Diceros bicornis minor: one gene and its partners. The protein of the gene in region 3 interacts with the protein of the main gene of each other region in a pairwise test. Links are inferred from orthologs where the notes say so. Each region holds a gene or a part of one and is shown on either strand. Other genes may lie near its edges. The genes, in order: SMARCD1, DPPA4, LDOC1 and PLEKHF2.

Evidence for each region.
Region 1: the proteins of LDOC1 (region 3) and SMARCD1 interact in binary tests that used the Homo sapiens proteins (3 or more experiments, as listed by UniProt). The two-hybrid records come from large-scale screens. The link is inferred for Diceros bicornis minor from reciprocal best matches to the Homo sapiens genes LDOC1 and SMARCD1.
Region 2: the proteins of LDOC1 (region 3) and DPPA4 interact in binary tests that used the Homo sapiens proteins (3 or more experiments, as listed by UniProt). The two-hybrid records come from large-scale screens. The link is inferred for Diceros bicornis minor from reciprocal best matches to the Homo sapiens genes LDOC1 and DPPA4.
Region 4: the proteins of LDOC1 (region 3) and PLEKHF2 interact in binary tests that used the Homo sapiens proteins (3 or more experiments, as listed by UniProt). The two-hybrid records come from large-scale screens. The link is inferred for Diceros bicornis minor from reciprocal best matches to the Homo sapiens genes LDOC1 and PLEKHF2.

The regions. Positions count from the first base shown.
Region 1 is NC_080756.1:19,739,389-19,746,734, forward strand, and holds the start of SMARCD1 (SWI/SNF-related matrix-associated actin-dependent regulator of chromatin subfamily D member 1), read right to left. Parts: upstream 3,114-7,346; 5' UTR 3,076-3,113; coding exon 2,899-3,075; intron 2,268-2,898; coding exon 2,080-2,267; intron 1,788-2,079; coding exon 1,745-1,787; intron 1,651-1,744; coding exon 1,528-1,650; intron 1,050-1,527; coding exon 927-1,049; intron 1-926. Other genes in the region: ASIC1 (acid-sensing ion channel 1), read right to left, coding at 6,014-6,118, 6,284-6,388, 6,474-6,553, 7,237-7,328. UniProt on the Homo sapiens protein: Involved in transcriptional activation and repression of select genes by chromatin remodeling (alteration of DNA-nucleosome topology).
Region 2 is NC_080754.1:12,450,430-12,458,631, forward strand, and holds the start of DPPA4 (developmental pluripotency-associated protein 4), read right to left. Parts: upstream 3,221-8,202; 5' UTR 2,359-3,220; coding exon 2,314-2,358; intron 2,138-2,313; coding exon 2,075-2,137; intron 1,998-2,074; coding exon 1,838-1,997; intron 825-1,837; coding exon 664-824; intron 578-663; coding exon 527-577; intron 303-526; coding exon 1-302. UniProt on the Homo sapiens protein: May be involved in the maintenance of active epigenetic status of target genes. May inhibit differentiation of embryonic cells into a primitive ectoderm lineage.
Region 3 is NC_080781.1:128,281,135-128,289,014, reverse strand, and holds LDOC1 (protein LDOC1), read right to left. Parts: upstream 2,967-7,880; 5' UTR 2,834-2,966; coding exon 2,399-2,833; 3' UTR 1,857-2,398; intron 1,754-1,856; 3' UTR 584-1,753; downstream 1-583. UniProt on the Homo sapiens protein: May have an important role in the development and/or progression of some cancers.
Region 4 is NC_080760.1:14,328,404-14,336,267, reverse strand, and holds the start of PLEKHF2 (pleckstrin homology domain-containing family F member 2), read right to left. Parts: upstream 3,291-7,864; 5' UTR 3,073-3,290; intron 2,303-3,072; exon of another isoform or gene 2,158-2,302; intron 2,039-2,157; exon of another isoform or gene 1,783-2,038; intron 1,317-1,782; exon of another isoform or gene 1,144-1,316; intron 1-1,143. UniProt on the Homo sapiens protein: May play a role in early endosome fusion upstream of RAB5, hence regulating receptor trafficking and fluid-phase transport. Enhances cellular sensitivity to TNF-induced apoptosis.

The DNA of each region.
Region 1 (7,346 bases), on a different chromosome or scaffold from region 3:
ATGGCAAGGTAGGTATCTGTGGGTATTAAACAAGTCACAGTAGCAAAAGAACCCTGAAGAAGCAGCCTATAACATGTACAGGGTCGCTGACTTACTCACTTCATTTCCCCAAGAGAAACGAGGCAAGTTAAGCCAAATCGATGCACATAACAAAGCGAGTCTGAACAGAGAAAAGTCTGACTCTAGAGGGGAAATGAATCACAGGCAGTAAGCAGCCAGAACAAAAACAGCTTTCTTTGGATGGAATGACACCACCAGCAGATGGACTGGACCTATATAGAAAAGAAGGAGGCTGACACTGAGCCCTGGTTCTCCTGCAAAAATGCATTCAAATTAGCTTGCCTGTGAATAGCTAAAATAGAGAGCCAGAGAGTGTAAGGGAATGAAAGGTGAGATTCCCCAAGGAGCTTCTGGGGTGGGAAGTTTGGGGGCTATCACCTGTCTGCTCATGTTCCCCACGAAGCAACAAAGAGCCTGTCAGAGAAATCTATCCCACTTAAACTGTGAGATGTCTCCAATGAAAGTTGGGAAGATGGAGATGCCAGTGGGAATCAAGGACTCAGAGAGGAAAGCATGGCCTCAAATGCTCAGTGCAAACTCACTTGATTAAAAAAAAAAAAACAAAACTTAATTGAATAATCTGCAGATACTGCTACATCCCAATGGCCAGCGGCATCAGGAGGAAGGTAAACAACAAATCAAATCCCAGGACAATAACGTTCTTGATATGATACCACAGTGAGGGCCAAGCTGTGGGAACCAGACACAAAGAACCATTGTCTTTTAGTACAGGAACACTGTGACCTCTCCCTGCTGTTCCCAACAAGGGCTGTGAGCACCAGTAAGGCTTCCTGCCAATCAGACAACACTGCTTGTTCCCAGCAGCTCCCACCCTAGATGCCAACCACAGTGGACCTTGAACTCACATCTTCCAGGAGCCGTCCTTCTACCCGAAGCTCCCAGGAAGCCACCGTCCCTTCCCCATCCTCGGCATCTGACTTAGCCGGATTGAAAGTGTTAGAAATGAAAATTCGCAGCTTCCGTTTTTGCTGAGGAAGGCAGAAACAGGATTGATGGTGGGGCTTCAGTGGTTTGATGTTGAAGACAAGGGTCTCCCCAAACCCCAAAATTACTCCTAACAGGAGTACTGTCTACCCAGTCCCTGGGGTGGGTGGATGGAGAGTCCATCTAGAAGAGGAGTACTGGCCATTGGCCTGAGTGCAAGTGCATACACTGGGATGCCAGGTGGACAAACTCACGCAAGGTGCCAGGTTCCTAAGGCGGCAGAGCTGTTAAAGCAAAAACCCGGAGAGGGTACGTTTCTGGTGCAAGAGATATCAAAAGCCCCTCCCCCTTTGCTATCTGTTCTCATGCTTCTAATGTAACACTCAGTTCGTAGGCGGAAGGGAGAGATATAATTTAAATGCCAAGGAGAGCTGTGCTGCGCCTTTGATTTCTCATCCTGAGCCTAGTGAAGGTTCCCGAGTCCTCGCCTTTGGCTCTCTGTCTAGCCCTCTCCCGAGTTACCTTGATGGGACGTTTCAAAGCCTCCTGGATATCTAGCCGTTTCCTCATGATAGTCTGGTCCAGTTTCCTTTCAAAAGCCAAGAGATCCATATAGGCTTGGGATTCTGGTACCAGTTCACGTATCTTAGAAACAGAAAGATATCATTGGGATCTAGAGCTGACCATCTCTATTCTCAAACCCACCACACCCACAAGAAGACCTAAAGCCTGGACTCACCCTTTGAGGTAGAATTTTGTCAGCCATCTTCTTTTTCTTTGCACTGTTTAGAATAAATACTGTTATCAGGTTGGGATGGAACTAGCCAGAACATGCAAACAGGCTGTCAGCACCTCCATTTATAGTAAAGTAGAGAGACTGCAAAGCTTCTCTCAAATCAAAGACATCCCCCTGCCCCCAACCAACATGAGGCATTCTCAAGAATGAGCACCCATCTGCTGACACAGCACCACTGCTTCTTGGTTCAGGTACTCCCACCACCTGTGTCCTCACAGGCCTCAGGCCTCCTCCTTCTCCTCCTCCCTTCTCCCTCCCTCTGCCCTGAGGCATCTTACTTGTGATTTCGGTTTTGGACCGCCTGCTGCTGGACCTGCTGGATCTGCTGAGGTGCAGGTCTCTTGCGGGACTGGTCCATCCCTGACTGGGCCAGGCCAGGTCGGACTGAAGGGTTCCCCCCATAGCCAGGGGGTCCCATGGAAGGTCCCTGAGGTGTCATTCGGCTGCCTGGCAGCATACCTGGTCTCTACAGAGAGGAGAGGACCCAGAGATGTCATGGCTTCCCCTACTAACCCCACTAATAAAGGTAAAGTGGGGGATGGCTGAGTTCTTTGAATGAAACAAGGCTGGGGGTGGGGTGGAGCACAACAGGAGGGGAGCCTTCTCCCTCTTTAAAACATAACTGGAGCTTCCTCTGCTCCAGTTGTGATTCCATAGGAGAGTACAGCCCAAAAGCTAAGAGATAATCAAATTATACTCAAATTCTCCCCAGCCAGTTTTTTATGTGACACACTGGACAGCTCTCCTAGTCCTACATTTACTCAGCACTGTAGCTGACCTCAATTTGCCAGCTACACCTTCCGTGTTCCTGTGGGCACTGGAGCTGCCCAAGCCCTTTTGCACTCCAGCCCTCATATGCCCACCATTTCATCCCGCGGGTTCTATACCCTGACTCCCCACGGAAACAATACCCCTAGAAGCAGGTGGGGATGCTAAGTGCCTCCCCTCCTTTCCTCTGCACTGTCTCCCCTTACCCCCACTCAGGGCCCGAATCCCTCCCAGGGGAGGTCCTCCTACTTCTCCCCCACCCCTGTCACTCCCAGGCCCCCGCTCGGCCCCGCCCCCGGCCCGCGCGCCCCTCCTCCCGCCCCACTCACCGGATAGGCCGCTCCGGGCATCGGGGAACGGTACAGCCCTTGACCCGGCGCTGGGCCCATTCGCACAGGAGGTCCCGGAGTCCCGCCTGGGCCCAGAGCAGCCGCCGAGCCGGCCCCTCCAGAGGCTCCGGCGCCGCCGCTCGGAGCCACAGACTGGAAACCTGCCCGGGCCGCCATCTTCCCCGGAGCCTCGGCTGCAGCTGCACAAAGAACCGGAACCGGAACTCCCCCCGCCCCCCGCGCGCCCCCCGCGCGCCCGTCTGTCCGCCCGGCCGGCCTGCCGGCACGGGAGGCTGGGGGCAGCGAGACTGTGGGCTAGAGGGGGGCGACTAGCGGAAAAGGCGTGCTGACCACTCCCTCCCCCCCTTCACGGTCCGGGAGGGGAAACCATCGAGACGAACTCGGGATAGAGAGGCCCTGTGAGGGGGCGCCCCCAGGCGACGGGAGGAAGACAAGGACTGGAAAGGGGACCACAGCCCCAGCCCCAAAGCTCGGAGGAAGAGGGTGATGGAGTGACTGCTTCATCTTGGCGCGGTGCATTTAACTTCCCAAAGCGCTTTGATTGTTTTTTGTTTGTAAGCCCGGGGGGCTGAAGAGGAGAATGCACTGTTTATTCCATTTGACAAACACGAAAGCTGAACTCAGAGTAAATGATTTGGCAAAGGTCAACTAACAAGTTAGCCGTAGAGCCGAAGCCTAGAATCCAGATCTTGTGGCTCATAGCTTGGGACTCATTCCACAGATAAAGTGCCTCAATAACTACCTCACCCTAGAACTTCAACCCAACTTTGTCCCTGAACTTTAACCTAACCTGCTTCCAGATTTTAAGTTTATTTTGAATTTTGACCCTGCCCCCTCTCCAAAGAATCCTTTGTGATAGGACTTCTCTTTGGGATCTTTGTTGCCTTTGATGCCTCTCTTTCCCTGCCCAGTGGTTCAAACCATGCTTGGTGTGATGGTCAGCCTGTCCCACCCCAGGAGGACCAGGGTCTCCCTGCTCAAGCCTCCTTAACTCCTCCCCTGATTGTTTGGCTCCAAGCCAAACTCAGCTCTAAGCACTTAGTGGGAAGGCCTAAATACTCTTCAAATAAGAGAAAAACGACACTGAAGAGGAGATGGTTGAAACCCAGTTTATTAGACCAGAGGCATGCGTCCCCCATAGCCCTGCCTGCTGTTCCCCATCTGGTGCACACCCCTTGGCCATGCTCCTGCTTCCTTCTGGAGAGGTCTGATCTCTAAGGAACTCCTACAAACTAAGAGTTCCCAAAGATCCTACAGCCTCCCTCTCCAGCACCAGGCCAATGCACAGGTGACCTACTACAGTTCCTGTTCTGGGGTTGGAGACCAAGAGACAGCTGGGCAGAGAAGCTCTGGGAAGGGGGAGGGTTCTGGCCTGGGAGGAGTGTCTGGTGGAGGGGGCGTGGCGAGCCCTCTACCTCACTTATGTTTCTCACTAACGTAGGAAGAGAAGGACAGAAGAGCAGAGCTTTCAAGCTCCCCTCTAGGCCTGTCTCTTTCCTCCCACTACCAAACCGTACCTCACCAGAAAATATAAGTGGTGGGCTTGGATGTCAGGTGAGGAAAGGGGGCTGTGCACCCAGAAGGAGGGAAAGGCCACTGACTAAGGACCTCAGCTTCTGCCTGTCATCTGCACCGCTCCAGCTGCAGGAGTTACCAATCCACAGCTTCCTCTGTCTCTGACACCCTTGCCTTAGTGTACAGAGCAGATCTCCATCCCTTGGGTGAGGGCTTTCTCTGCAGCAACTCCTTCCCTGGGGAGGCCACCATCAGCCAGGCAAAGGACTTTGGGCTGGGTGGAGCAGGGGAGGGAATGTTAAGGCTGCAGGGAGGGCAGAGGGTGCCTGGGGTTGGGGGAAGACGGTGAGGCCAGAAAGAGGCAGAGCTTGTGATTCACAGCTTCCTTTATGTCGCCACCGAGACAGTGCGAAGGTTACAATGCGCGTGTCGTCTCCTTGTGCTTCTCAGAGGGATGTGTGTACACAGTACAGACACCAGGGGAGAGAGTCCAACTCTTTATACAGGTGAAGGCATTCAGAGACCAGGGAGGGGGCAGAAACACAGAAAGGGGAACTTGGGGTGGAAAGATGGTTCTTAGAGACAAGAGGGGATGGGGTATAGACAGACAGAGTTAGGGGAAAGTATATACAGAGATATAGCAATATAGAGTCTGTATCGTATAGAAATAGAAAATGCAGATGAGGTTGTTGAGAGAAGCAAATGAAGTTGGGGAAAAGGACTTGGGAGAGTTCCATAAGAAAATTTATGGATGTGGCCCTCTGCAGGGGCCCCTGGGAGAGGGACCAGTGAGGTTAGGCACCAGTGCCCCTCTCCCTGAGCTGGAAGCCAACTAGCTGGATCTTTTATGGGTGATAGAGGAGGGCTGCCTCTTGGGATTTCTCTCCAGCAGCTCTGGGGTGGGGATGAACTTGTAGGTATCAGGATGTGGCCAGAGCACCAGGGCCACATCTTGCCCCCATCTCCACTTCTTCAGGGGATCCCCCACCTCCCAAGAGACTTCACATGGTGGTGTTGGGGGGACTAGGGTCTTAGTTCCTGCCTGGAGACTTGGTTGGGGGGGGGGGTCAGTGGGCTGAGAGGGTCTCTTAAGGCTGGGGAAGTCCCCCCCCACTAGCCCTCCCCTTCAAGGTACATTCTCTGGTTTGGGGCCAAATTCCAGACCCCAAGGATCCCCTCCACCCCCCACTGGGAGGGGGCTTTGGTGACTGGTGGCAGCAGAATGTAGGTGGACACTCAGACGACAGACAGCCAGACAGACAGAATTCAGGCTGGGAGCTAGGGGAGGCAGCATGGAGCAGAGAGGGGCAGCCTGAGGTCACTTGCCCGTTCTCTCTTTTTAGTTTCTTTTTTAGATTAGTTTTGTTAAAAATAACAAGAATGGGAGAGAGGCAGGGAGAGGACTCTATGGTCAAGACTCTTTCCTCACCACAGACAAGAGGAAAGGACTGCCCAGGAGTTGGGGGCTGCCTCGGGAGCGGGGAGTGAGTCCCCAGGGCAGATGCAGGGGGCCAGCTGGGGGCCCCCTTGCTCTCCTAGCCCTCCCCATCTAGGCCTTTGGTACAGTGGCCTGCAGGGCTCAGCAGGTAAAGTCCTCAAAAGTGCCTCGGGCCGGATGGTGAGGTAGGATGTTGGCAGCGTATGTCATCCCAGCAGGATGGCCCCGGAGGCTCTCACACGGGTTCTGGGGGAACAGCACAAGACAGCGACTGGTTATCCGAAGGGCCACAGGTGACGCTGGGGAGTGGGGGAGGCAAAGGAGAAAAGGTGGCGGGGGCGGGGGGGGGGTGGTCCTAGGGTGGTGGGGGAAGGGGCAGGGCTGGAGGGCGCCCCTGTCTCTCTCTCTCACGTGTCTTTTGACGTCATCCAGGCTGAGGGCCACGCCTTTGTCTGCACTGTTCCTTTTGGTCTCCTTCTGGCACTTCCCTCGTCTGCACAGCTTGTGCTTAATGACCTGGGAGGGAGGTTGGGGTGGAGGGGTGGGCGGACTGGAACCCTGCCCCTCTCGTGGCCCCACCTCCATCCCCACCCCCGCTTACCTCGTAGGCGTAGTCAAAGAGCTCCAGCACCGTGAGGATGCTGGCCCCGATAAACAGTCCCATCTGGCCCCCAATGTCACCTGCATGGGGGACACAGGGAGGTCAGTGGGGTCAGGACACCGAGGGAGCAGCAGAGCTCACTGGGACAGGGGCAGGCAAGTCCTGCAAAAGCATCAACAGCCTTCATATAGAAGGCGCACAAAGCAATTCTGGTGGGATTTTTATTTTCTTTATGCTTTTCTGCATTTTTCCTCCTTTTTTTTTTCCCCCAAAGCCCCCCCAGTAGATAGCTGTATGTCATAGTTGCATATCCTTCTAGTTGCTGTATGTGGGACGTGGCCTCAGCATGGCCGGAGAAGCGGTGCGTCTGTGTGCGCCCGGATCCCAACCGGGCGGCCAGTAGCGGAGCGCGCGCACTTGACCGCTAAGCCATGGGACCGGCCCTGCATTTTTCTACTTTTCTAAAGTGAACAGGTATTATTCAGAAAAAAATAATTGTTTACAAAATACTCCAACACTCTTATTCTCTGGGCAGATTTTCCAGGGCATATGAAATAGTCCCATGTTCACGCCCACAGGCCTCTTCAACTTTGCTCTAACAGACAGCCCATCTTCCTCCCCCCACCACATACCCAGACAACAGAGTTTGGGGAAAGGCCCCGGGGGATCGCAGGGGAGGAGGAGCTCATGGGACACTTCAGATGGTAGGGTGTCACTCCATGCCCATGGCATGGGAAGGGGACAGGTGCCATCAGCAGCTCACCCAGGAGCCCTGCAATCTCATAGGCCTTCTTCTGCTCAATGGTCTCATAGTTGAGGACTTCAAAGAAAATGTCCAGCACGAGGATGTTCTCCCTGCAAAGGGGTTGGAGG
Region 2 (8,202 bases), on a different chromosome or scaffold from region 3:
TCTTGTCTCGATTCCACTGCGTCCATCTTCCCTGCCCCGGCTGCAATTCTGCTCCAGGACGCAAACACAGCATCCGGGGAGGAAGTTGTCACCACAACAGTCTCAGCTCCCTCAAAGAGAGCAGTAGACCCTTGGAGGGTGTGTGCCCCCTCCTCATGGGGAGCAGCCCCTTCAGGAAGACCAGTCCCAGCAGAAGAAATCTTTTTACCACAACTTTCCAGAAACGATTCTCCCTTGTCCATCATCAATTTTCTCTGTGCTCCTGGCAGGATCTTGGCCTCCTTTGCTGTGACAGGAATGTTCTACAAACAGGATTTGAAAGATGAAGGCGCTATCAGAAGGACAGCCTTATTTGTATTACTCTTTGCTCAGAGTTGGTGAAAAGTGACGACAGGGGGATGTGGTTCCTCCTTAGAAGAAGTAGAGGGGCTGACACAATTCCTCTACTTACTGTTTGATGCTAAAATAGGTAATTAGGATGAGAACTAAATCTTCCACTCTGCCAAATTTTCTACAAATTACTCACCTGTTGATTGGGATAAGCATATTCACAGAGTCGCTTATATGCATCTAATTTCTGAGAAAAGAGAAAAAAGAATTAACAATGAAAGTAAGGTCCCTACCCTTTCTCCCAGCAGCATCGTCTCCCAACCCGGCCCTCACCTGGCCTTTGGTGCTCAGTTTCAGTTGTTGGCACCAGGCTCTCAAGGTGTCTCGGTGAAGCATGTTGGCTGGTGGCAGTTTAGAGGGTAATGGAGGAATTGGTGTCCTCTTCCGAAGTCTTACATCCTCTTTGTCTTGTTCCATCTTTTGAGGACAGCAAGCTGAAGGAGAATGGGATGAAACCAGTGCAGTCACTTTTAGCTCTCATAGTCCAATCCCTGTTGTACAGTTCAATGACTTGCCAAGACCACAAAACCGCCAAAGGTCAGAACCTCAAACCTAGGACTTAATATTTCTGAATTGCACACTTTTTGCTTCCTAAAACTCCCCACCACTGATACGCACTTGCTCCTTTGTGAGCTCTGTAACCCACAGGCTCCAAGGAGGGTGCACTAGAGATTGCACTTCCAATCCAGGGAAATGGTAGAAGTTGTAGACCTGAGATCATAAATATTCAGTGGTGCCTTGTCCTCTCACCATAAAACAAAATAAACCACCCAGCAATGCCACACACACCCCACTATTACCCATAATTCTGCCAGCCTACCTGAGTCAGGGCAGCACTCCAGTCTCATTGCACACAGGTCTCCTGCTGTGCCTCACGCACACTCAGCATTCAAGGAAGAATTACAGAACACACCTCCAGAGAGGACACAACTATGACGACTACACGGTAGTCGCTAGGGTTTACTGAGCCCACATTACTAGTCAGGTATAGTGAAGGTGTTTTATCTAATTATTCTATGTAAATTATAACCCACCTTCCACCGGACCTCTGACTCAACATGGTAGGTATTATCCTCACTTTTTAGAACAAGAAGTGAAGTTTCAAGGATGGGATTTCAAACTTACATTGGTCTGTCCCCAAATCACTGCACTTTGAGATCCTTAACTCCATGCAGTGAGTGAGGGCAAAATGATGATCAGAACCAAAAATGTTGTGGGATTTGGAGACAGGAAGAAATCAGTGTTAACAGGGGTGACCAAAAGAAGGCTTCAGGGAGGTGAGATTTAAGCTAGGCCTCGAAGAAATTTCTTTTATTTGAAGAAAATTCTGTAGGATTTGCACAAGAGAGGACGACGTTCCTTTCCTACTTTTCCTACTCCTTCAGAAAAATTCCTCAGGCCTCTTAGACCTGAGGAAATGAGATCTGAGGACTTGTAGACCTCTTACCTTTGTCATCCTTCACAGATCTTTTTCGTTTGGTCCCCCTCATGGAGGCTTGTTGTGCATTTGGTTCACCAGAAGCCTGCTGTTCCTCTTCGGGTTCTACCGACTGAGGTTTCGACTTGCCAGTCATATGTTCTTCCCCTGATTTCTTTTTGGAATTCCACTGGGGATTAGAGGCACCAGTCAGTCATTCCTCTGGTCCCACCCACCACACACACTACCTGCCTCAAGATAACTCACATCCAAGGCACCAAGACAGTCAGCGAACTCCGCTGGCGGTGTGGATTCCTCTCTGGGTGTCGTCTTAATGCCCAGGTTCATTTATAAGATAGGGAAGCAATGATGGGGAAATGGGAGAAGACCAATTTAAAAGTACAAAAAAAGACAGAAAATATGGATACAAACAAAAGAAGTAGAAGAAAATAAGGTCTGCTTTGGGGGAAGTCGTTACATCACCCATGATATCCATCCTCTCTCACCTGGAAGATTTTCCCCCATTCCTTCACTCTTGACCTCTTCCACATAAGTTTCCTATACTATTGCTGGAGGGATGCTATCAGACCTTCACATCCATTCGAAGATTTATTGTTCTTAGCGTAAAGATATGAAGATAAGCAAATGTCTTTCATATAACCCACCAGCCTCTTCTCACAATACTCTCCTCTGCCCCAAGCTCCAGTCAAAGAATTTCTGTCCTTCCCAACCTAGTTACTTTGGCCTGAAGTGGTATCACTCAGCTCCACCCCACCCCACCCTACTTCTATTTACATTCTTAAATGTTACTCCTCCTCCAGAATTCACTTCGAGCGTTCATCTCTAAACCCTTTCCCGTTTTTACAGACCAAGTCAAATCTACTACCTTTTGCCTCATTCCCACCACTGATCAGTTGCAATTTCACATTTGCTTGTGTCATTTGGTCAATGCCTATTATTCCATTTGATTGTAAGCTTCACAAGGGCAGAATTTCTTTCCCTTTCATCATAGGCACTCAATAAATGTTGGTTAATTGCATCAAAAGAAACAAGAGAACAGTGGGGATAAAGTTGTTTGTACAGAGAATCTGACAGTTGTTGAGCCTCTCTCTTCTATTAGGTATTGTTTGACACATTCCTTATTTTCTTTCCTTTAATCTGCACAGCAATCTGGTGACAGTTTATTTGTTTTTCAGATGCAGAAGCTGATGCCTTACATAACTAAGGGTGCGCAGATAGGCACGTTAGATAGGAATTAAATCCCAGATCAACTTGCTCCCAAACCTAATTCCTTTCCATCATCCCCAAGGTGGGAGTACTGGACAAATTAACATTTGTATGGCATTTTTACATTTCTATTGCAGTTTTACATTCGTATTCAAATTTTACATCTACATAGCCCTTACACAAACTACTCACTTTTGGGTCTCACAAAAGTCTTAAAATTGAGAGTGCAAAAATGACCTGGTTCTAGGAAAGAGACCCTGAGAGTGTTCAGGTTTCCCAGGCACGGGAGTTCAGTTCTTCTGGAACAAGCCTCAAAGCCTCTCCACCTCTTGTTTCTGTCTGCAGTGCTTGTCAAGATGTCTGGCTTATATTTCTTGGCCCTAACGACCCTGGGAAAAGAAGATGAGTTCAGACTCAACACATTTGCTTTAGGATCTGTGTCTGTTGAAGGGAAATTAAAGGATCTCGTTCTTTCCCCGACTCAGCTCATATCTCTTCCTGAAGTCTTTCCCTCACCTCCTCCTTGCCCCTGTTACCATTTCCTTACACCCCTGATACTGGATTCTTCTTTCTGATGGGATAAAGCATCTCTTCAAAACCAAAACAGGAAACCCCATTTCTTATTATTTCCTAGCTCCAATATAACAGGTTGCAGTCATATCCAGGACTTTACTTTTTTTTTTTTTAAAGAGGAGGAAATTGAAGGCACATTCTTTTCTCCTCAAAAGAAGGATCAAGTGTGCTCAGGGGAAGAGAGGAATATGAGGAGACTCACAAGGACAGAAAACAAACCCACTAAGATTGTACTTACCTGCTTGCCTTTTGCATTCTCCATACTCAGAAAAGAAGTCAAGGTTGATAAAAAGAAAGTTCTGCTTACTTCTAAAATGGCCCCTGGCCCAAGATTGCTCTTTTAAAAGTCTCCTCCCACTTCCTGCCACCCAGAAGGAACTCTTCTTTTTCTCCTCCCCTCTGTTCCCTCCCCCACAATTTGTGAATGCTAAATTTGTGTACTGTCTTATTCACAAGGCGACTATTGTATGAATGAATTAATACCATTCCTGGCCCTTTTCTATGAGCTTTTAAACATAATCACGTACAGTGTGGTTCAGGTGACATTGGAAAGTTTAAAACTCCTTCAGAGAAATTCCAAGAAGAAAAATAAAAATTTCCAGAGACTTGTGAATAGGATGGGTGAAAGGATTTAATGATAGAACTTGTGGAAACAATAGGATTCCGGACCAGACTGATGGCTTTAAGAAAGCAAAGCTGTTTTCATGTACCATATACATTCCATTTCTTAAGCAAGTTACTCTACCAATTAAAACTCCAGCGTTCCATCTGTGCTAATAGTAACTAGCACCTTCCCATCTGCCAACAAAGAATTATAGTAGTTTTTAAAGTCTATTGAGTATTTATGTACCAAATTCTAGGCTTAAAAGCTCACAGCCATTATTTTATTGTTCTCCATTTTATAGATGACCAAAGTATGTATAACATCGTATTGATCACTTGCTCAATAGCACAGTGAGAGAACCAGAAATCAAGTGTAGGTGGACGCGATTCTATCCCTTGAGCCCTAACCTACTGACTCCCAAACAAGGTCCAGATTCTCTCAAAAATAGTTTCAAAAATCCCTCCTTCTCAGATCATCCTCCCTGTCAAACTGTCAGGATTAGAGATGGGAGGGGAAGGAATTTCCTGGGTTAAGAACCAGTGATTGTGAGATTCAAACCTTTGTCAGATTACAAAGTCTGTGTTGTTTTTCCTACATCTCATTGCTTGCCCTAAAATGATGAAGAAGAAATGATCCTTACCCAGAATGGAGGGGATAATCTGCTCGCAGGATAGAAATACATGGACATAGGGAGTAAGTAAATGGGACCTAGGAGTAGAGAAGGAAGTGTACCTGTGGACTGGGCATCCCGCAGAGCACCAAGGACGAAAGTGAGTATTTAGAATGTAGATCATCTGGGAGGTCGCACCGGGGCTTTGACTGATCAGTTCTTTACTCTGGCTCAGAGACAACAACTGGTAACCAGTTGTCATCTTCCTTTTCCCAGTGTAACTGGAAGTAACGTTGCTGAGACTGAGACATCTAATCCCAGGCAAGGTACAATCTCTAAAGCGTGTATAAACAGAGCCAGTGTGTGCTGGAATTTGATTTAAGAATTCTTAGTCTCATCACCATTTGGGGGAACACAGTTCTAACAAGTTGCACCAACCATTCAAAAAACATGGGTTAGTTGATGTCCTATGTATAAAGAGGATTAGTACAATTTAAAATATTTGAGCATAATTGGAAACGGTACTACTGGGCTCTTGAATGAAGCAAAAAGAAGCCAAATATCTTTCTAACAGGCTTGTGGGAGTTGTGATAATTTATAAGCAATCTTGGGCAAAGTACGATACCTTTCTGCTTTGGTTTCTCAAATGTAAAATAGGGATAACTGTAAATTTATTGTGTCTTTTAGAGAAATAACTAACACAAATTTATGTGTAGTTTCTTATTAATGTTTAGTAGTCAAAAGAAAAACTTTTTATTGCTTTTTAAAAATGTTATGTCAATGCCTAAAGTTCTATCTACCCTGAGTTCAAAAAATATTCATAACTGAATCTCTTATTCATTTATTGAACAACAGTGTGTTGGGTGTCTGCTGTGTGCTCTGCCTGGGAGACACAGAGGTGGACAATGGCAGACAGGGACCCGGCCCACATGGGCTCACAGCTGGGGGAGAGGACAGATGTTAAGCAAATCATATCAGTAACTAATAATATAAGGAAATGCTCTTTTACTTGATTTTTAAATGCATTATATTCATTTATATGTATTATCAAAACCAATGTAAACTATTCAATTATGACACTTGAAAAATAGGAAAGCTCTGCATGTATGACAGCCTGCAGTAGGGGTTTTGACCTCATCAAGGAAGTCAGGAGAGCAGCGGGTCTAAGGACCAGGTGAACTGAACTAACTGAACAGAGGAAGGATCCGCCCAGAGAGACTGCACTCCTGAGGCAGCCCACCTCGGTTCAGGAACTGAAAGGGGCTGCGTGGGGCTAGGAGAGGGAGGAAGAAAATGTAAGCTGAGTCTGGATAGGTTGGCCTTTTGATCTTTAGGCTAAGAACAATGGAAAAATTCAGGGTGGGGTGGGGATGAAGGTGGGAGTGGGGGTGGGCAGATTCTGAAGAGCATTTTGTAAAGATCTTTCAACGGCAAGGAGGAGAAAGATGAGGTGACGGATCAGAGTAAACATGGGAAGGTAGGTTAGGAGGCTACCGAGGCAATGTTAGGTCTGAGATACTGGCAGCTGGAGCGGAAATGGAGAGTTGTGGCTAACAGCACGGACTGTCTTTAAACCTCAGCCTCCCCGTTACCAGCGTGTGACCTCAGGCAAGTTGTCTCACACCTGCAGGTCTCCCTTTCCTCATCTGTAAGACGGGAGTGGTGAAAACACTAACCCTCACTCAGAGGGTTGTGGGGGAGCGAAGAGGGCTCTCCCATGTCCTGAATAAACAGTGTCTAGGGCAGCACGTGTTGGGTCAATGTTAGATGTTTCTATTATTACAGCATTGGAGAGTGTTAAAAAACAAAATTCAACTGAGTAAATGTTAAAGATCTTATTGGCTTTATTCCATGATTCATGAATCAGGCAGCATCCAATCTAGCAGATAGAAAGGAGCTCTGAGGAGCTGTACAAAATGAAAGATTTTTATAGGCAGAGGGGGACAGCAGGAAGGAAGTTGTACTAGACAAAAAAAGCTGGTTGGTTATGCAAGGTGACTTTCCTTTAGGGAGTGGCAGGGGTCTATCAGGCAGATGACCTGACTAGTGCTGATCAGGCGATTCCTGATGGCTGGTGTAAGATTCCATTTCTGGGAGAGCCAAAAGTGTAAGTTAAGTCTCTGTTTGGTGACATGGGGCTTAGCATAAGTGACTCCATTTTGGCCTGTCTTGTTTTTAGCAAGAAGAATACATATTTGAGAGATGGGGAGTACTCCTCCTACGGTTTCTTTTTTCTTCATTTTTTTGTGTATTTTCTTTTCCAAAAAAAATTTTAATTGAATAAAATGAGCTGAGTTAATGAGGCTTTCAGTTGCTTACCTGGAGGCAATGAATCTTCCAAAGTCATTAATCTGCATTTACAGAAGACAAAACAGGATAGTGTCATACATAACCACCATTTCATATTTGATGGAAGGGAGAGATTTGGCGGGAAGTGGAACTGTGGAGGCTGGTTGGAGGACCTGTCTGGATCTCTCCGCGCTGTGTATTCTGAGAAGTCCTGGCTCAAAAGCTGGGCTTTTAAAAAAACTTATATATAGTTCAATTCATATCCAGAATGATTTTACAAGTTTATAACAGTGCATGCGAACACCTCTTTCTCCATATCCGAGAGACTGGTATTTTAAAAAATACACTAGAACTGGACACACCTAATGTATAACAATTTACCTTTTACGTCTCTCCTATAGTGAGAAATCATTGCTTTTTATGGGGTTATTTTATTTTAGAAACAGGTGAGTCATTTAGAAGTAAATCTAGAGAGTAAGGTAGGCCATCAGGTTAGTTAACAACTGGTTAAAAAAGGGAAAAGTTGGAGGTAGATGGTAAAGCTGGTATCTATCATGAAGTTAAACAAACCTAACCTGTTCCTTTGTTTATAAACTCTCTCTTCCAACTCCCCCCCCCATTCCTTCCTTCCTTCCATCGTGTGTTAGGCACTAGTCATAAAAATGTGGGTCTGGTCCTTAATTATCTCACAGTAGGAGGAGTTCCAAACATGTGAGCAAACGTAGTGTTATTGGATTACATACCGAGTTTCCTTAAGCGTCTACCTGACAGAACAGAACATGCTAATCAGGGGCAGGTTCACCTTGAATCTACTGAGGCTTAAGCGTCAGGCACTTTGTTTGCACTGGCCCAAGCCAAGCTCCTGTGAGGACTCTAGAAATTTTGCATGCATAATTTTATATCTTTTTCAAAGTTGCATAAGCTTCAGGCCCCACAGATCTGCCCCAATGATGATTCATAAATACTGAAATGTTTGTGTAACAAAACAACGTTCCTTGAAAATCTCACCTAATATGCTCTGCTTTTGCTTCCCCCTACCAGCTCCCCCTCCCGCCTCCCAGTTAACTGTGCTCCAGGAGAATCGTTCCTTGG
Region 3 (7,880 bases):
ACACCATGTCTCTACCTCCTCTCAGTTTACCTGGACCACCAATAATTTTGAATGGCTGATTTTTCATCTCACCAGGTCCTTTATCTAGCTTTCAGCTCTTCCTCACCACATTCCCACATCCATCTCGTTTGGGCCTCAACCTCCTTTGCTAAGTAATATCCACCCCTGTCCCTACTCTCCAGAAACAACTTTCCCAGACCTGAGAAATGACTCCTGCCCCGGACTTTGCCTATTACCAAGTAAACTGGCTTTCTATCTGAGTTCACGTCAGATCCCAAAGAGTAAATGAGGTCTTGTCATGCTCTCATTTCCACTCTCCCTCAGCCTGCTCTGCTCCTCTTCACCCCTGACATTTTCCTACTAAAGCTAAGCTCATAGCAAGAGACCTGCCTCCCAAGCAAGACTTCAGTTCCCAGGGCTGGGAGTAATAGCCCATGTCTACTGAGTGCTCACCATATAGCAGAGACAGTTCTAAATACCTTATGGACGTGATCTGTGAGGTGACCAGTATGATGACTAGTATCTCATTTAATCCACAGTGAGGTTTACCAGTACAAATAAAAGAATACCCAGCCTCAAAAGGTCTTAAACAATAAAGAAATTTATTGTCTAAATTAGAGGTCGTAAGGTAGGGCTGCCTCCAGGCATGGTACAATGAGGACATTAGCAGATATAGATGAGAATGAAAACTCTGAACTCCTCAAATCCTCCTGAACGTGCCTGGCTGGCAGAGGGAGCCCCCACAAATCCCCCAACCAAGCTTCTCTGATTTAACATTTCAATGACTTAACCTGGAGTAATGGCCTCACAGAGGTATGCGCATTATTCTCAGCACCCACCCCACTCTCTCAATGCCTCTGAGCCCTCTTGGGCCACAGAGATCTCAGCATAGCCCAGATAGCAGTACAAGGTCTAGTTCAGGAGATAGCCAGGCATAGTGCCAACTTCCATAGGCAGGAACCTGGGGCATATGTATGGGTGCGGATTCTAAGGGTGTCTTCCCAAGGAGGATGAAATGTTAAGATTCTATTTATTACCGGTGCACTTACCAAGGAACCAGGATTTAATTTTAGCTCGAGCCTGAAAGGGGCATTAAAACAATGTGCTACGTTGTTAACTGCAGCCTGAACTTAAAAGTACTCCACAGGCAATAAGAATTAAGGCACAGAACCTCCCTGGCAGTGTTAAGGAAGGAACCCAAAGGCTCAGGAAGATAGGAATATTGTATGTGTCCAGATTTATGCCTGTTGTCCCAGTCTAATTATTAATAGTGTCACTTTCACTCTCAAAAGTGTCCCAGTTTGGGATGGTGTGCCACCTGCTCAGTCACCCCTTACCCATGTCACCCAGGAGGCTCCAGAGAACACTCCCTTCGCCAGGGCTTTAAGAAATGCCTTGGTGAGGGGAGCACCAGAATCCCAATAAAGTCCTGTGGTAGATGTCCTCTGTAGCCTAGAGATGACAGTGGGGAATACTGGCATTGAACTAACTTCCCTGATCTCAGTGGGAACAATGGGAGTCAGAGTGAGAGAGGTAGTGGCCAATGATGGCATTTAACCATTAAAAGACACTCCTTTCTTTTTTGAGTAGTGCTTGATATTTATTGAAAAGAACAAGTGCTTTTTCCAGGTAGTATTGAGGAGCTGGGCCGAGTGCCTGTTCTTGTTTGTTTTTAGTATTTTTGTCCAAATGCACACATCTGTGGGACTGCTGCAATTTTGGAAAAAAAATAACAGCTGTGCAAAACGGGTGCCTAGGAGAAAAGAAATGTCAACAATTTGGCTGCCAGGCACACTAGGCCCCTGCAGCAATTTGGTGGGGCAAGGGAGGACTCTGGGAGCAGGTAGGGAACTAACCAGGCTGCAAGACTGGCCCTTTAAAGGTTGGTGAGCTGTACAAATCATTGTCCGAGGAGGTGTAGCCAACTCAGGCATCTTCTAGGTTGACTCTTATCTCCAAAGGTGGTGGTCTGTCACTGGAATGTGATGGACGACGGTGAAGTGGCAGCTTTAAGTCTCTGGGCAGATGTAGGCCTGGCAGTTTGGCAGGGCTGTGCGCAGTCTGACCAGTTTGTAACAGGGTCCTGCCCTAAAGCTGGGGCTCAGGACACAGTCCAAATTAGCAGCGGAGGGTCCTGGGGCTGGCCAGACTGGGTGGCGGCGCGCTTCAGAGCGAGGCCCCAGCTCCAGCAGCAGGTAACTGGAGCACTCACTATTCCTGGAACAAAGACAAGCACTACGAGGGAGGCGGGGGATGAGGAAGAGAATGGGAGGGCAGGGGTAGGAAAGGGGATAGGAGGGCGAGGGGGAGCGCGGCGGCTCCGGACAGGGCAGGAGGGCGCGCGGGGGAGGGGAGCGGCGTGCAGGGCCCTCCCACCTAGGCCCGAGGGTCTCGGGGCCTAGTAATCATCATCTTCGTCGTCGTCTTCTTCATCGTCATCCCAGCCAAAACACTGTTTCATCTCATCGAGGAAGGCCCGGTAATCACCTAGGATGGGGCTATCCATCTCAATGTACGGCACCACCCACTCCTCGGCTTCCCCGGTGAGCAGGCTGATTAGGAATGCCACCTTCATGGCGTCGTTGCAGAATCGGTTCTCGTTGACAAGCATGTAAGACGCCGTCTGCACGATAAACTCAGGGAGCCGGGAGCTCTCGCCGTTAAACGTTTCAGGGAAGGGCACCGGGCAACTCGGCGGACGTACCTGGCGCAGCAGGGTGGCCCTCTCGCACACCAGCAGCCGCAGCTGTTCCATGAGCTGGCTGTTCTCGATGCTCAGGGCGCGGTGCCGCATCAGGAGCGCGTGCAGCAGCAGCACCAGCTCGTCCACCATGGCGAACGGCTTGGAAGGGCAAGGCTGAGCTCGGCTCGGTTCGGCTCGGCTAAGGTGCGCACAGAGGCCTCGCAGGAAGTGCGTGTCCGCGGAGGAGCGCGGTGGCCAGGGACGGAGGGCAGTGCGCGCAGGAGACCCGGCGGCTGCGCAAGCTCCGCCCACAAAGCCGCACGGTCGGCCGGCGCGCCGCCGCGGCCCGGGGGAGGTGAGGGGGCGTGGCCAGGGAAGCTGCCGGCGCGGCGTGGGGGCGTAGCCAGGGTGGGGCAGGCGGGGCCGCGGAGACGTGACCGGGGGGGCGGGGCCAGGGAAGCGGCGGGCAGGGTCTCGGGGCGGGTCATGGTTCTCAAGGCCCGCGGATAAAGGCAAGGGACCCCGACCGAGCCCTGGATGTGGGTGCGGCGTTCGTTAGCCTGGACCGCGGGCGCGCTAAGACCTGTGTCAGAGCGGGCCAACCTGCGTAAGTTTAAAGGATTAACCACCGTTCAACCCAGCCGACTCACACAATACAGTGTTCCTTGCCGGGTCTGTGGCCAGTACATTTCATTTACGTGAAGTTTTGTTAACACATTTCCTTGCTTATTTAAATCTCGTTCACCCAGAGAGCTGTTAAGCACTGCTGGCCGCACCGCGGGAGTCACACATCCTTTCAGAGTTATGAAAGACCGTCAGAGGTCCTGTCTTTCATGAGAAAACAATATTTAAACAGGAATTTGACTTTAGTTGGGAAATAATATTGTATACCTCTATCCTTTTTTAGAAATGTGTCTAAATAACGAAATATAAATAGTTCTTTAAAATCATCCGATAACTATTTGCAGGCATCCTGCCTATCTTTGATTCTCTATTTCATGTCCTAGTATTAGTGTCCCTTGGCCACTGGGTATTATTCTTTGCTTAACAATGAAGACTTGTGTTTTTAAATGGTTTTGTGTTTCTACTTCCTGATTATTCAAATAGTTGTTGACAACTGAGTTGGATCCAGGACCCTAGAGCCAACATAATCTGTTGGCTCTGCTTTTAAAATATGTCCCCAATTCAATCACTTCTTGTCACTTCTACCACTACCTCCCTGATCCCAGCCTTCCTTTCTCACCCAGACTGCTGCAACTAATCACTTAACTTTCACTCTTCCCTTCCCGCAGTGTGTGTGTGTGTGTGTGTGTGTGTGTGTGTGTATATATATTCTCCACAGAGTAGGCATAGTAATCCTTTAGAACAAAAGTTAGATCTCTTCACTGCCTTGCTCAAAATCCTCCAACAGTTTTCCTCTCTTGCTCAAAATAAAAAGCAAAATCTTGGTTATGGCATATAAGGCCCTGCCTCATCTCCTAGGCCTCTTCCTGTTCCCTGCTCTGTTCCAATCACATTGTCCTTGTGGGAGATCAAGATTTGGCCATCCTGAAATATATCTCTTTACCTTGATTGTTTTCTCTGAGGGACATTTGACCTCCCCACTAACTGCCTAAAGAATTTGACATAGTGGCTCCTTCCTGGAACAGATCTATCATGATGGCTGTAAAGATAATGTAGGATAGAGGTTACAATAGAAAAGGCACCAACAAGCCCATCTTATCAGAAGTTCTGTCTCTCTGGCCACATTCTCTGGATGGCCCTGCTAGGAGTTGCCAGACAATCATTTACATTTATAAGGGAAATCTCCATTTGTAAGGGTATCTCCCTCTCTGTTTTGGGAAGAGGGGGGATGACCTCATTTCTAGAGGCTTATCAATGTGGAAGGTGAGGCCTTAAATCTGCATAATAACCTTACTCTTGTTTACTGTGCTTTAGTGGTAATCTCCTGTAACTGACTCCCCCCACCCCCACATCCTCCTTTGTCGTTGGCTGAACATGGTATTTAAGACGAGAATTTCTGCTATTGTGTTGAGAAACGCAGTGTCCCTGCTTTCTCCCATGTATACATGTTATTAAACTTGGTATTATTTTCTCCTGCTAACCTGTCTTGTTAATTATTTGGCCAGCCATAAGAACCTTAACGAAAAGGGCAGAGGGGGATTCTCCCTCTTCCCCCACATCCTCCTTGCTGATTCTCATACATTTCAAGTAGCTCTGGCCTCAGGAACTTTGCACTTTCTACCCTTTCTGTCTTACAAAGCTCCCTCCCCAGTTAGCTGCCTAACTCCTTCTCGCACTGTTTTCAGAGAGGACTTTCCTGACCACCTCATCTATCAGAGCACCCGGTTATCTGCCAGTAGTCTCTAACCCCTTACCCTGCTTCATTTCTCTACATAGCATGTATCATGCTGGGAGCCATCATATATAGCACTGTGTTTGTCAGTCTGCCTCCACTTGAGAATGTAAGTCAATGTGGACAGAGACTTTACTTTGTTAGCTGCTCTATCCCTGATGTCTAGAAAAGTGTCTGGCCCAGAGTAGAAGCACCATAAATGTTTGGTTTATGAAAGAATCTCAGAGTGCAGATGTTCAAATAAAAATTAGAAATGGTAGCTGCATAAAGTGTCCAAAAATATTCTTCAAATTGTCCAATATGTTCTATCTCTGATCATGAATCAGTCTCCATTGTGAAACGATGAGTGATGTAACAAAAATGGCAAAATAAATTTTTTTTAAAACCCTATTCTGGGCTGGCCCCATGGCTTAGCGGTTAAGTGCACATGCTCCGCTACTGGCGGCCCGGTTCAGATCCCGGGCGCGCACCGACGCACCGCTTCTCCGGCCATGCCGAGGCCACGTGCCACATACAGCAACTAGAAGGATGTGCAACTATGACATACAACTATCTACTGGGGCTTTGGGGGAAAAAAGGAGGAGGATTGGCAATAGATGTTAGCTCAGAACCGGTCTTCCTCAGCAAAAAGAGGAGGATTAGAATGGATGTTAGCTCAGGGCTGGTCTTCCTCACACACACACAAAAAAAACCCTATTCAGTCCTTTTACAATAGAATTGAATGGGCACCCATGGAAGTGAGAGGCTGAGAGAGAGGAGGGAAACAGGGCCAAGACCAAGTAAGGAGAGGAGGAGGGATCACACTGCTCAGAGGGTGTGCAGGGAAAAGAGCAGGTAGGGGGGAATATGAGCCCGTGGACTTTCCAGTGATATGAGCTTCCCCCATTAGATGAGAAGCCCCTTGAGGCCACGCAGGGACACTCTCTCGTTCATCCTTTCATCTTCAGCATCAGAAAGTGTTTATAGGTGTTCCATAAATGTTCAGTGGATGGAATGACGGTACAGGAAATGTCAGAGGTAGGTTTCTGGCCATCCTGCCCATTCAAAGCTCAGGGTGGAGGGTAGACCTGCCTGGCACAGCGGTCAGTGTCCAGCTCCACTTTCCATGTCTAGACCCTAATACAGGAAGAGATGCCCAGGGTTCTACTCCCAGGAGCACACATCCTGTGGCAGGCACTGGATTTGGTGATTGACATGGGCTGCCTCATTGACCCTCCCACAGAACATGCATGAGGATGAGCACTCTAGGAGCCTGAGACCCAGGAGTTAAAGACTTGCCTAAACCCAGGAGAGCAATACTACAATATGTTGGTGGTGCAGTACCACAGTCTCAGCTTCTCTGATGGCACATGCACTTCCACTGAACAACTATTATGCACTGGACTTCCGTGAATCAGGAAGATCTAGTGGGGACCCAGAGATGGTTAGGCCCATGGTGCCCTAGTCCTCTTCCTACAATCCCATGACAGGGGGAGTCAGGGAGGAAACCATAGGAAGCAACCGCTAGCATCACCTCTCAGGGGGTTCTGAGTTCCTAAAAAACAAGAAATGCCCTGGCCAGAACTGTGTACAGAGCTGAGCAGTGACTTTGGGAGGCACTTCCAAACTTGGAGGGAGGGAGGAGAGACAGAGGGACGAGAGACTCACGGGGAAGCAGTTGGGAAGAGGTGAGTAGTATGACTAAAGTATATACAGTGGTCCCCCCTTATCCGCAGATTCGCTTTCCGCGGTTTCAGTTACCCACAGTCAACCGCCATCTGGAAGCAGATGATCTTCCTTCTGCTGTATTGCCTAACACTACGTTACAATGCCTACGACATTCACCTCACCTCATCTCATCAGGTAAGCATTTTATCATCTCACATCATCACAAGAGGAAGAAGGGTGAGTACAGTACAATAAGATATTTTGAGAGAGAGAGAAACCACATTCACATGATTTTTATTACAGTATATTATTATAATTGCTCTATTTTATTATTAGTTATTGTTGTTAATCTCTTACTGTGCCTTATAAATTCAACTTTATCGTAGGTATGTATGTATAGGAAAAAACATAGTATATGTAAGGTTCAGTACAATCCACAGTTTCAGGCATCTACTGGGGGTCCTGGAAAGTATCCCCCATGGATAAGGGGAGACTACTGTAGAACTGTACTGTCCACATTAGCCAGCTTCCCGGTGCCCATGAGGCTCTCCCACCAATGTCAATGCCTGCCAGCGCTTCCTTCACCCTTGCTTCTCCATTCACCCTGCTTAGGGCTGCACGTCATCTTCCTTACTTTCCCTTACACCCGTGTAAGACGCTGCGGGCAGAGGCAGATGGCTCTGCATGACTTATCTCAGGCTCAGAAACTTCATCAGGACAGCTTTGGCACAGAATGTCCCAAGGGTGGTTTGAACCCCACTATTTGGCAAGAGCATGGGCCCAAAGCCAATGGAGTGATACCTGATGCTTATTGCTTCCACCATCTTCCATGCTTCAAACCCTGACCTGGTATACACCTAGCAGTCAGACTGTAAAATTCCTCTGAAATAAACATGAAAACGTCGGCCCCTTGATTCTTCAGTCTCCAGAGGAATGTGTACAAATTGGGTAAACCAATCTGGCACTTGAATATGCAGCCAGGAACAGAAATCAGCTTTGGAGGGGATATTTGTGGGAAGGTCAAATGGATACCACTAAGATCCAGGCCTCTGCCCGTAGACCCCCTCCCACTCTTTCTCCTTAACTAGGTGCACCTGAGGCTTTTTTTTTTTTTTTTTTTTTACAGTAACCACATCTAGAGAGCTGTGGAGACCTCTGGCCTAGAGAGAGGATTGAGCAAGTACAGCATTCTCC
Region 4 (7,864 bases), on a different chromosome or scaffold from region 3:
GTAATTCTCATTTATTTGTTCTAGGGTAGTGTTCAGGCATCAGTACTTTTAAAAAGCTCCTCAGGGAATTATAATGTGTAGCCAAGGTTGAGAACCAAACTAGGTATTTCTAAAAGTTGCTTCCCTTTTAAAATTTTAAAATTCTATGATTCTATATAATTCACTGCCACTCTGTTCATTTGTTAATATAACTTACTGAATATGAATATCATGCACCAGGCACTTCCACAAACAGCTTAGTAAATCCTCACAACACTATGAGGCAAATATTTCTGTGCCCATTTCACAAATGAGTCCAGTGAAGCTTACAGAAGTGAAGAAACTTGTTCAAGAGTCACAAGCTAATAAGGAGCAGAACTAGGATTCAGAATTGCTTTTTTTTGTTCCAGTCCACCCTACATGCAACTTGCTTTCTCGAGCACTCATAGCAACTTCTTGAATGCCTTCTCTTCTCAGGACCTCCCAAATTGCGCACACCAGTCTGTGGTTTATAGATTGACTGAAGAGAAAGTCATCTTGGGCAGGGAATTAACCCTAAATTCTACAATAATTTTGTTACAGAATTACAGAACACCTTCACCTAGAGAGGTCTTGCAACTTAAAACAGCCCTCTGAAAGCATATCTATGAAGTATATTTTATTTGGTTACGCCAACATGCACATTGCTATGAAACATGCAGCTTGTGTACAAAGCTGGTTCTCAAAGATAAACTTATCAATAGAAAAGCAATTTCTATATGCTTTCCATTAAGCGAGGCATTCTAAAACAAAATTCTAAGAGAATTCTGACAAAACAATAATTGATAAAGAAATGAGATTTGCTCTATCAAAGAGCTTAAATGTATAAACACGACCTTCAAAATTTTCAGGCATTAACTCTATCTCCCTCCAGTGAAAATAAATTCAATTGCACTTTAAAATTATGATTATCCTTTTGTTGAACCAGGGCTGCTGCTGCTTTGTTGATTATACTTCAGTCCATTATCTACTTGTAAATTTCATAAACATGCAAGTTCTGTATCCCCAGGCCAAAACTTATTGAGTTACCAATGTAAAATTAAAAAAAAAAGGATTCGAGAAGATTTAAGTACTATGCCCATCGAAACTGCAATTTTTAGTAAGAAATTCAATAAGTATATTTACAAGGAGCATATGTGTACTCATCCATTCAAACCTTTCCTGAGCATCTGCTATGTTCTCTGCACACTGGGGAGGGAGAGGCAAATCAGACCCCATGCAACGTCTGCTGTCAAGGGGGTGCCACGGCAGGTCAACGTAATATGTATGGAGATGCCATGGGAGAAGCGAACCAATTCCTGGGGAGACAAAGGGGGTGGGATAAGGAGAACAGGGCAGAAAAGGCTTTTCAAAGAGTACAGTTAGCTTAAGTGAGTATTTTTAAGGGGAAAAATTTCAGTACAAGAACCCTTGTAAATCAGCTCTCTAGGAGATAAGTAGACTGAGGAACAAAATTAAAGATGGAAAGAGCAGCAAAGACAAAGCAAACAAGGTGGACAGAGACTGCTCCACAGGAATGAGTTATGTATCCTACACAGTTAGCTATAAGAAAAATGAGAAGGCTTCCGAGTCATAAGAGCTCAGCTAAATACCAGCTTGCCTGCTAGATTTGTGAAGTTAGCTGTCACCTCATTTCTAGAGAACTCTTCACCCAGAAAAACAAACATATATAATGGCATTTACTTGACAATGAAGCAAAAAGAATTTTTTTTTAAGAATTTAAGGAAATTAGCAATCAAATCTGAGCAAAACCTATATTTTTACCTGTAGATTAAGAAGAGAAATTCTCCAAAACATGTTTTAGAGTTGACCTTATTTGTGGTTAAGAGTCCTTTCAGTTCATTTAACAGAATTTTAAAGCGAAGATGTCTTTACTTAAAAATAGTAATATACATTCATTTACTGGGGTAACTCAAGTTGAACCTTTTTCGATGCCTTGGTCAGTATATCAGTTTTACTTTTTGAGGCGATTCTATGTGCTTTCCAAATAAGTAACTTAATACTCTTCACCTCTCCAGCGCTGTCAGGACCCGAACAGATAAAAATAGAAGCCTTCGTTAATTGTGAATCAACCTGAGGATCCCATGAGCTACCAGAGTACAGAAAAAGGTAAATGCTCAAAACATGGTAGGCACGCACCTTCAAGGATCCGAAGGGAGCGGAAAAAAATTTCGCAATGTCAAGATCACTTCACCTTATTGTTAAGAAAACAACACACACCTTTAAGTCCCTCAGTCAACGTTCGTGTCTAAATCTTTCTTTAATGAGTCTCTTCAGTAACGTACTAAAACACAACAAAGAAGGCATTTAAAAACTTCCACACTTGGCGAGTCCGTGAATCACAGAGAAAGGCTCAGTTCTCCGTCCCCGTAACCCTACCCCCTTCCCTCGCGCACACAAGCGACTGCTGTGGTGCACAAGCACACAGGGTCTTCAGGCCACGGGAGCAGCAAGCTCTCGGCCTTCAAAAAGATTTTAAAAAGGAAAAATAAATTCGGCAAAAGACCATGAAACTTCAAAAGACTCCAAAATGAATAATGTGTAAGAGCCATCGCCTATCCGAGCAAATTCTACGGTGCCATTTTTTGCCCCAAGTCACATAAATATATGCTATTCGAGTTACAACGTCTCTGACGCCCAGACTTCGCAAACTTTCTGGACAGAGAGATGCTGGGGCCCTAAGACGCCACCGGCCACGACTGGATCCCTACTCCTCACGCCCCGCAACTTCTCGCCCGACCTCGGGGCCCCCTTCCCGCGTCCGCCCGGCCCCGCCCCGCGGAGCGCGGACCCCCGGGCGGCCCCGCAGCCTGCCGGCGGCGGCAGCCGCGTCCTGCGGGCGGGCGCCGGCCGACCCCAGCGCGAGGGGAGCGGCCCGGGAGCGCCCCGTTTCTCACAGACCCCAACATGGCGTCCGCCGCCGCCGCCCGCGACGACGACACCTCCCCGCGCCGCCGACGGCCAGGGACCGCGAGGGGAAGCGCCCGGAAAGTTTCGCTTCTCCTCTCCCGGCCCGCCAGGGGCCGGCGGACAACCAACCCGGGCTTCACCTACCCGGCCAGGCGCGGGCGGCGGCGAAAGTCCGACTGCTCCTCGTCCCAGGCGCCGGGCGCGGACTCTGCCGGCTCCCCGCCCCGGCCTCCCAGGGTGTGCGCGGCCGCGACCGCGCGCAGCCGGCCAGATCCAGACGCGAAGGACGGACGGGCGGCCGGCCGGCGCAGCCGCTCGCAGGTGACTCCCCCGCCCCTCCAGTCGAACCCCACAACGGCCGCCGGCGCTGGCCGCTCCCCTGCGCGCGCACGGGCGCGCCGCCGCCCACACGCCAGCGCGCGGGCACGAGCACACCCACACCGCCCGCTCCCCGCCTTTCTTGCCTGTTCCCTCGCCCCGCCCGTGCCGCCCCGCGCGACGCGCCCGAGGGGGCGGGGCCACCGCGGAGGCCACACCCACCTGGGCAGCTGGCGCCTGCGGTTGGTTCCTCCGCGCAGTGTGGGACCGCGTGCCCCGGCGCCCTTTGGGTGCAGGTGAGACTCCTTACCTGGCCCGCCTGGCTGCGGCGAGCTCTTGGAAAAGATTGTTCATCTCTCTACGTAGTTCTTGTAGGAGACTGGACGAATTGAAGGAAGGCTAGGCCCCCTTTGCCTCCTCACCGAACGGGCATCTCCACGGCACTCAAGAACTTTCCGCAGCCGGGAAGGAAAGGCTTTGGATTTAGATGCCCAAAGGCGTCTAGGCAGATATTTGTTTCCTGTTTCCACTTACCTTGGCGATCCTGCCCGTCACATCTTCCATTTGCTTTCTCTAAAACCCCTGCCTCTTGAAACCGAGGGAGCTGCGGTGGCAATACACCTGCATACCCCCAGGTACTCTTCTTAGCAGCCCTTTCTTTTAAGCGACTGGCTTTATTCTGTGCCTTAGAACTCTGGTCTTTCCAAAACTTATCTCTGGCGACACAAAACCTCATCTACCTACTTCACATACCTGAAAAATGCAAGATAGTATGTAAGGTTAAATCTGCCCTTTTCGTTTATACCACAGCAGCTGTTTGCTAAGCGTGCTGTTGGGTACGTGGAGAAGATACCAAAGATGCCTAGGATAGACAAGGAATGGGGGGGGGCGGGGGGGACGGCATACTAACCTCAAACAAAACATGTAGGTGGAAATCTGCAAACCTACCGAGTCATCACCATCCCATCCTCTCTTCCGTCGCCTTCATCCTATCCCTTTTCCTCAAACATATTGTAGAATCTGCCTCTAAAACACGCCTCCTCCTCTCTTTTCCCCTCCACTCGGGACCACATAGGATTGTGTCACTCGCCTGCAGAAACCCTTCCATGGCTCCCCACTGGGGCTGCCAATTACAATTGTACAAGTTATAGTAGAACAACGCTATGGAAGAGTCCTTTCACATTGGAGCACTGAAAATTTTATACTTATTACAAATATTCTCTGGCAGATTTCAGTAAAGTGCCTTGTTCTAATAAAAGTATTTTACAACCGTTTTCCAACAAGATGGAAACGCCTTGAGGAATGGATGCCTTTTTCTAATTTGCCCAAAGGTGCCATATGGAGTAGGAACATTTCTGTTTCACTTACAACAAAATGCCAGCTGGTCACTAGGTCCTATGAGACCCAGCACAACCCAGCGTCTGCCATCCTCTCCACCTTAAAAAGATACCAAGCTCCACCCAAGTCCAGTCACGTTGACCTTGTGTCACTTTTCAAATACACCCAGCTCTTTTCTGCTATGGGGCCCACTGCCCTGGCTGCTTCTCTACCGAGACAATCACAAGCCCACCCTATCCTGCCCTTTGCATAGCTGTGGCCCCTTGTCGTCTTTCAGGCCTCTGTGCCCTGAGACAGTGCGGGTGTGCGCTTCCCTCACAGTACTTATAGATCTCCCTGGAGACGGCAGGCTCCATGAGGGCAGGAGCTCCCTGTCTTCTTGCCTTTCTATCCCCAGGTCCTCACAGGACAGGAGTGTGTGCCACCTTGTCAGTGGTCGACTTAGCCTTATTGCCACCCCTTTCTACATTCTCCTCTGCGCTGCGGGGAGAAAGCCTAGAACTCTATTTTCCAGAGGACTTTTCCTTAAATGGTTCCAGGTTAAATTCTGCCAAGGGAGACACGTGTTAGATCTGAAAGGCAGAAGAAAAGGGGAAACCATTATTCTCCAGTATATCTTCAAACAGGCAGCTCAGATCATTGGGGGCTGTTTCCCTAGACTTCTGGGAAAATATTAGACAAACCCAAAAAAACTAATATCCTGTTTTTAAAAGGGAGGATGGGGGCTATATTCTAAAAAAAAAAAAAGGCCATGGAAATGTTCCAGAATAAAGAGGCAAAAGAGATAATGACAACTAATTACAATACCTGACCCTAGACTGGTTCCTATACTAGAAGGGGAGAATGTTATAAAGGACATTTTTGGGTCAATTGACAAAAGTGGAATATGAACAGAATATTAAATAAAATTGTATCACAGTTAAATTTTCTGTTCTAGTTATATAAGAGAACATTTCTATTCTTAGGATATACACACTGAACTATTTACCCTCAAATGATTCAGAAAAAATTTAAATATATAACATATAATTTAAATATTATATATAAAAGAGAGAAACCACCTATATAAATGATTTTTAAAATGGAGTAAAATGTTAGGTCAATCTGAGCAGAGTATATGGATGCTCTTGGTACTATTTCTATCTTGCAAACTGTAAGTTTGAAATTATTTCCCCCCCAAGAAAAAAGTTAAAAAATATATATAATAAAGCACTAAAGGGGCCGGCCCGGTGGCGCAAGCAGTTAAGCCTGCGTGCTCCGCTGCGGCAGCCCCGGGTTCCCTGATTCAGATCCCAGGCGCGCACCGACGCACTTTATATGGCAGCATCCCATATAAAGTGGAGGAAGATGGGCATGGATGTTAGCCCAGGGCCAGTCTTCCTCAGGAAAAAAAGAGGAGGATTGGCAGATGTTAGCTCAGGGCTGATCTCCCCCCCCCCCCAAAAAAAAGCACTAAATAAACTATACTGAATAAAGCAAGACAAACTGGGATAGTTGTCTTAAATATCCAGTCTCAGAATAGGCCCAGACTGATAGCTATATGATTAAAAAATAATACTTTTATGCTTTTTTCTAATTCCCCAGTGAACAAAAAGTGAATTTACTCTTCTTGCAGCCAAGATGCTCCCCGGCTATGGGAAAATAACCTACAACACACAGGGTGTCTTTCTAAACATTTAAATATAGGACACATGTGGCTTGCTGGCCACTGTGTCCTACAGACCAGTTTGGCACAATCACATTTGCTGCAGATCCTGGCTGCATGAAGTGGGAACAGATATTTTACTCCTTATAAAAATTCACTATGTAAGGAGAATAACCCAGATTATAACTATATCCCCAAATTGCAGTAATTTTTGCTTTGAAGCAGGAAGGCCCCAGGACTCGTGGAAATATAGTTCTATGCTGTCTTATCAGAGAGCCTTATAGTCAGCTCTTAGAAGATCATTTAGAAAATTTTCCCAATTAAATGACATAGAAGGTTCCCTTGAAAATATTGCGAGACAGTAACAAGATCAGTGTTAGCTGGGAGGGAGGGATAAACAGGCAGAGCGCAGAGAGTTTTTAGGACAGTGAAACTATTCTGTGTGACACTGTAATGGTGGATACATGTCATTATACATTTGTCAAAAGCTATAGAATGTACACCACCACAAGTGAACCCTAGTGCAAATATGGACTTTGGGTAATATTGACCTGTCAATGTAGGTGCACAAGTTGTAACAAATGTACCACTCTGGTGTGGATGTTGATAGTTGGGGAGGCTGTGCACGTGTGGGGAGCGGATATATGGGAACTCTGTACTTTCCACTCGATTTTGCTCTGAACCTGACACACACTGCTCTTAAAAATAACATCTGTTCAAAAAAAAATTATTGCACATGTCTCTTGGAGAAGTTGGAATTTAAGCTTGGGGAGTTATTCAAGAAGATTTTTGGCAGGCACTTAAATTCATTTCTTGAAAGATTTATTGTAAATCATATTACTCAAACTACTGCTCATTTAACCATCTGTCAAGCTATCTTACCTTAGAATCAAAAAATGAGGTTTAAATTTAAACAGAGAAGCTTATCCATATTTTAACAAATCAAATTTTCTTGGCAGAGATTGATCTTGACCTTGGGAGTTTTAACATATAAACCTAGTATGTATCAAAAATCCTATGAATTTTCCCAACAATGGATATAAATTGATCAGGAATTTGCCTCATTCCAAACTAAGTTTACATATTTCTAACAGGGATATCATTTATTTGTCATATCAGAAACTAAGGAACTAGTTTCATGCTCATCTCTGTCTTAGAAACGTAAGTCTAGATCAATTTGTACACGAAATAAATTCCAGCTAGATTAGTGAATTACATGTAAAATATGTAAACTTTTGTACAAAAAAGACATATAAAATATACAACCATATTAATTTTTTATCTTTGGTAGTATTGTGCATGATTCTTTTTCTTCTCTATATTTTACTAAACTTCTATAATAAGTATGTATTGTTTCATTTTTTTAAAAAACACACAAGGCATAGTCATGGGTAAGTTTTTCAATGAAGTGGTATAAGTCATATTCAAGTACTCATACCCTAAAAGACACAATGGCTGCTTTCTTCTATAAAAAATTCCTAAATTATTTGCACATTACCTTCCCTGCCAGTAGAGGGAAATTATACAACAAATGCCTTATTCCTCAACATTACCTCCTGTAAATGACAAATAAAACATTAACCTCAACAAGCAGTTACTGAGTAAGCTTACCTTCCATAAAACTAGCTCAAAGTA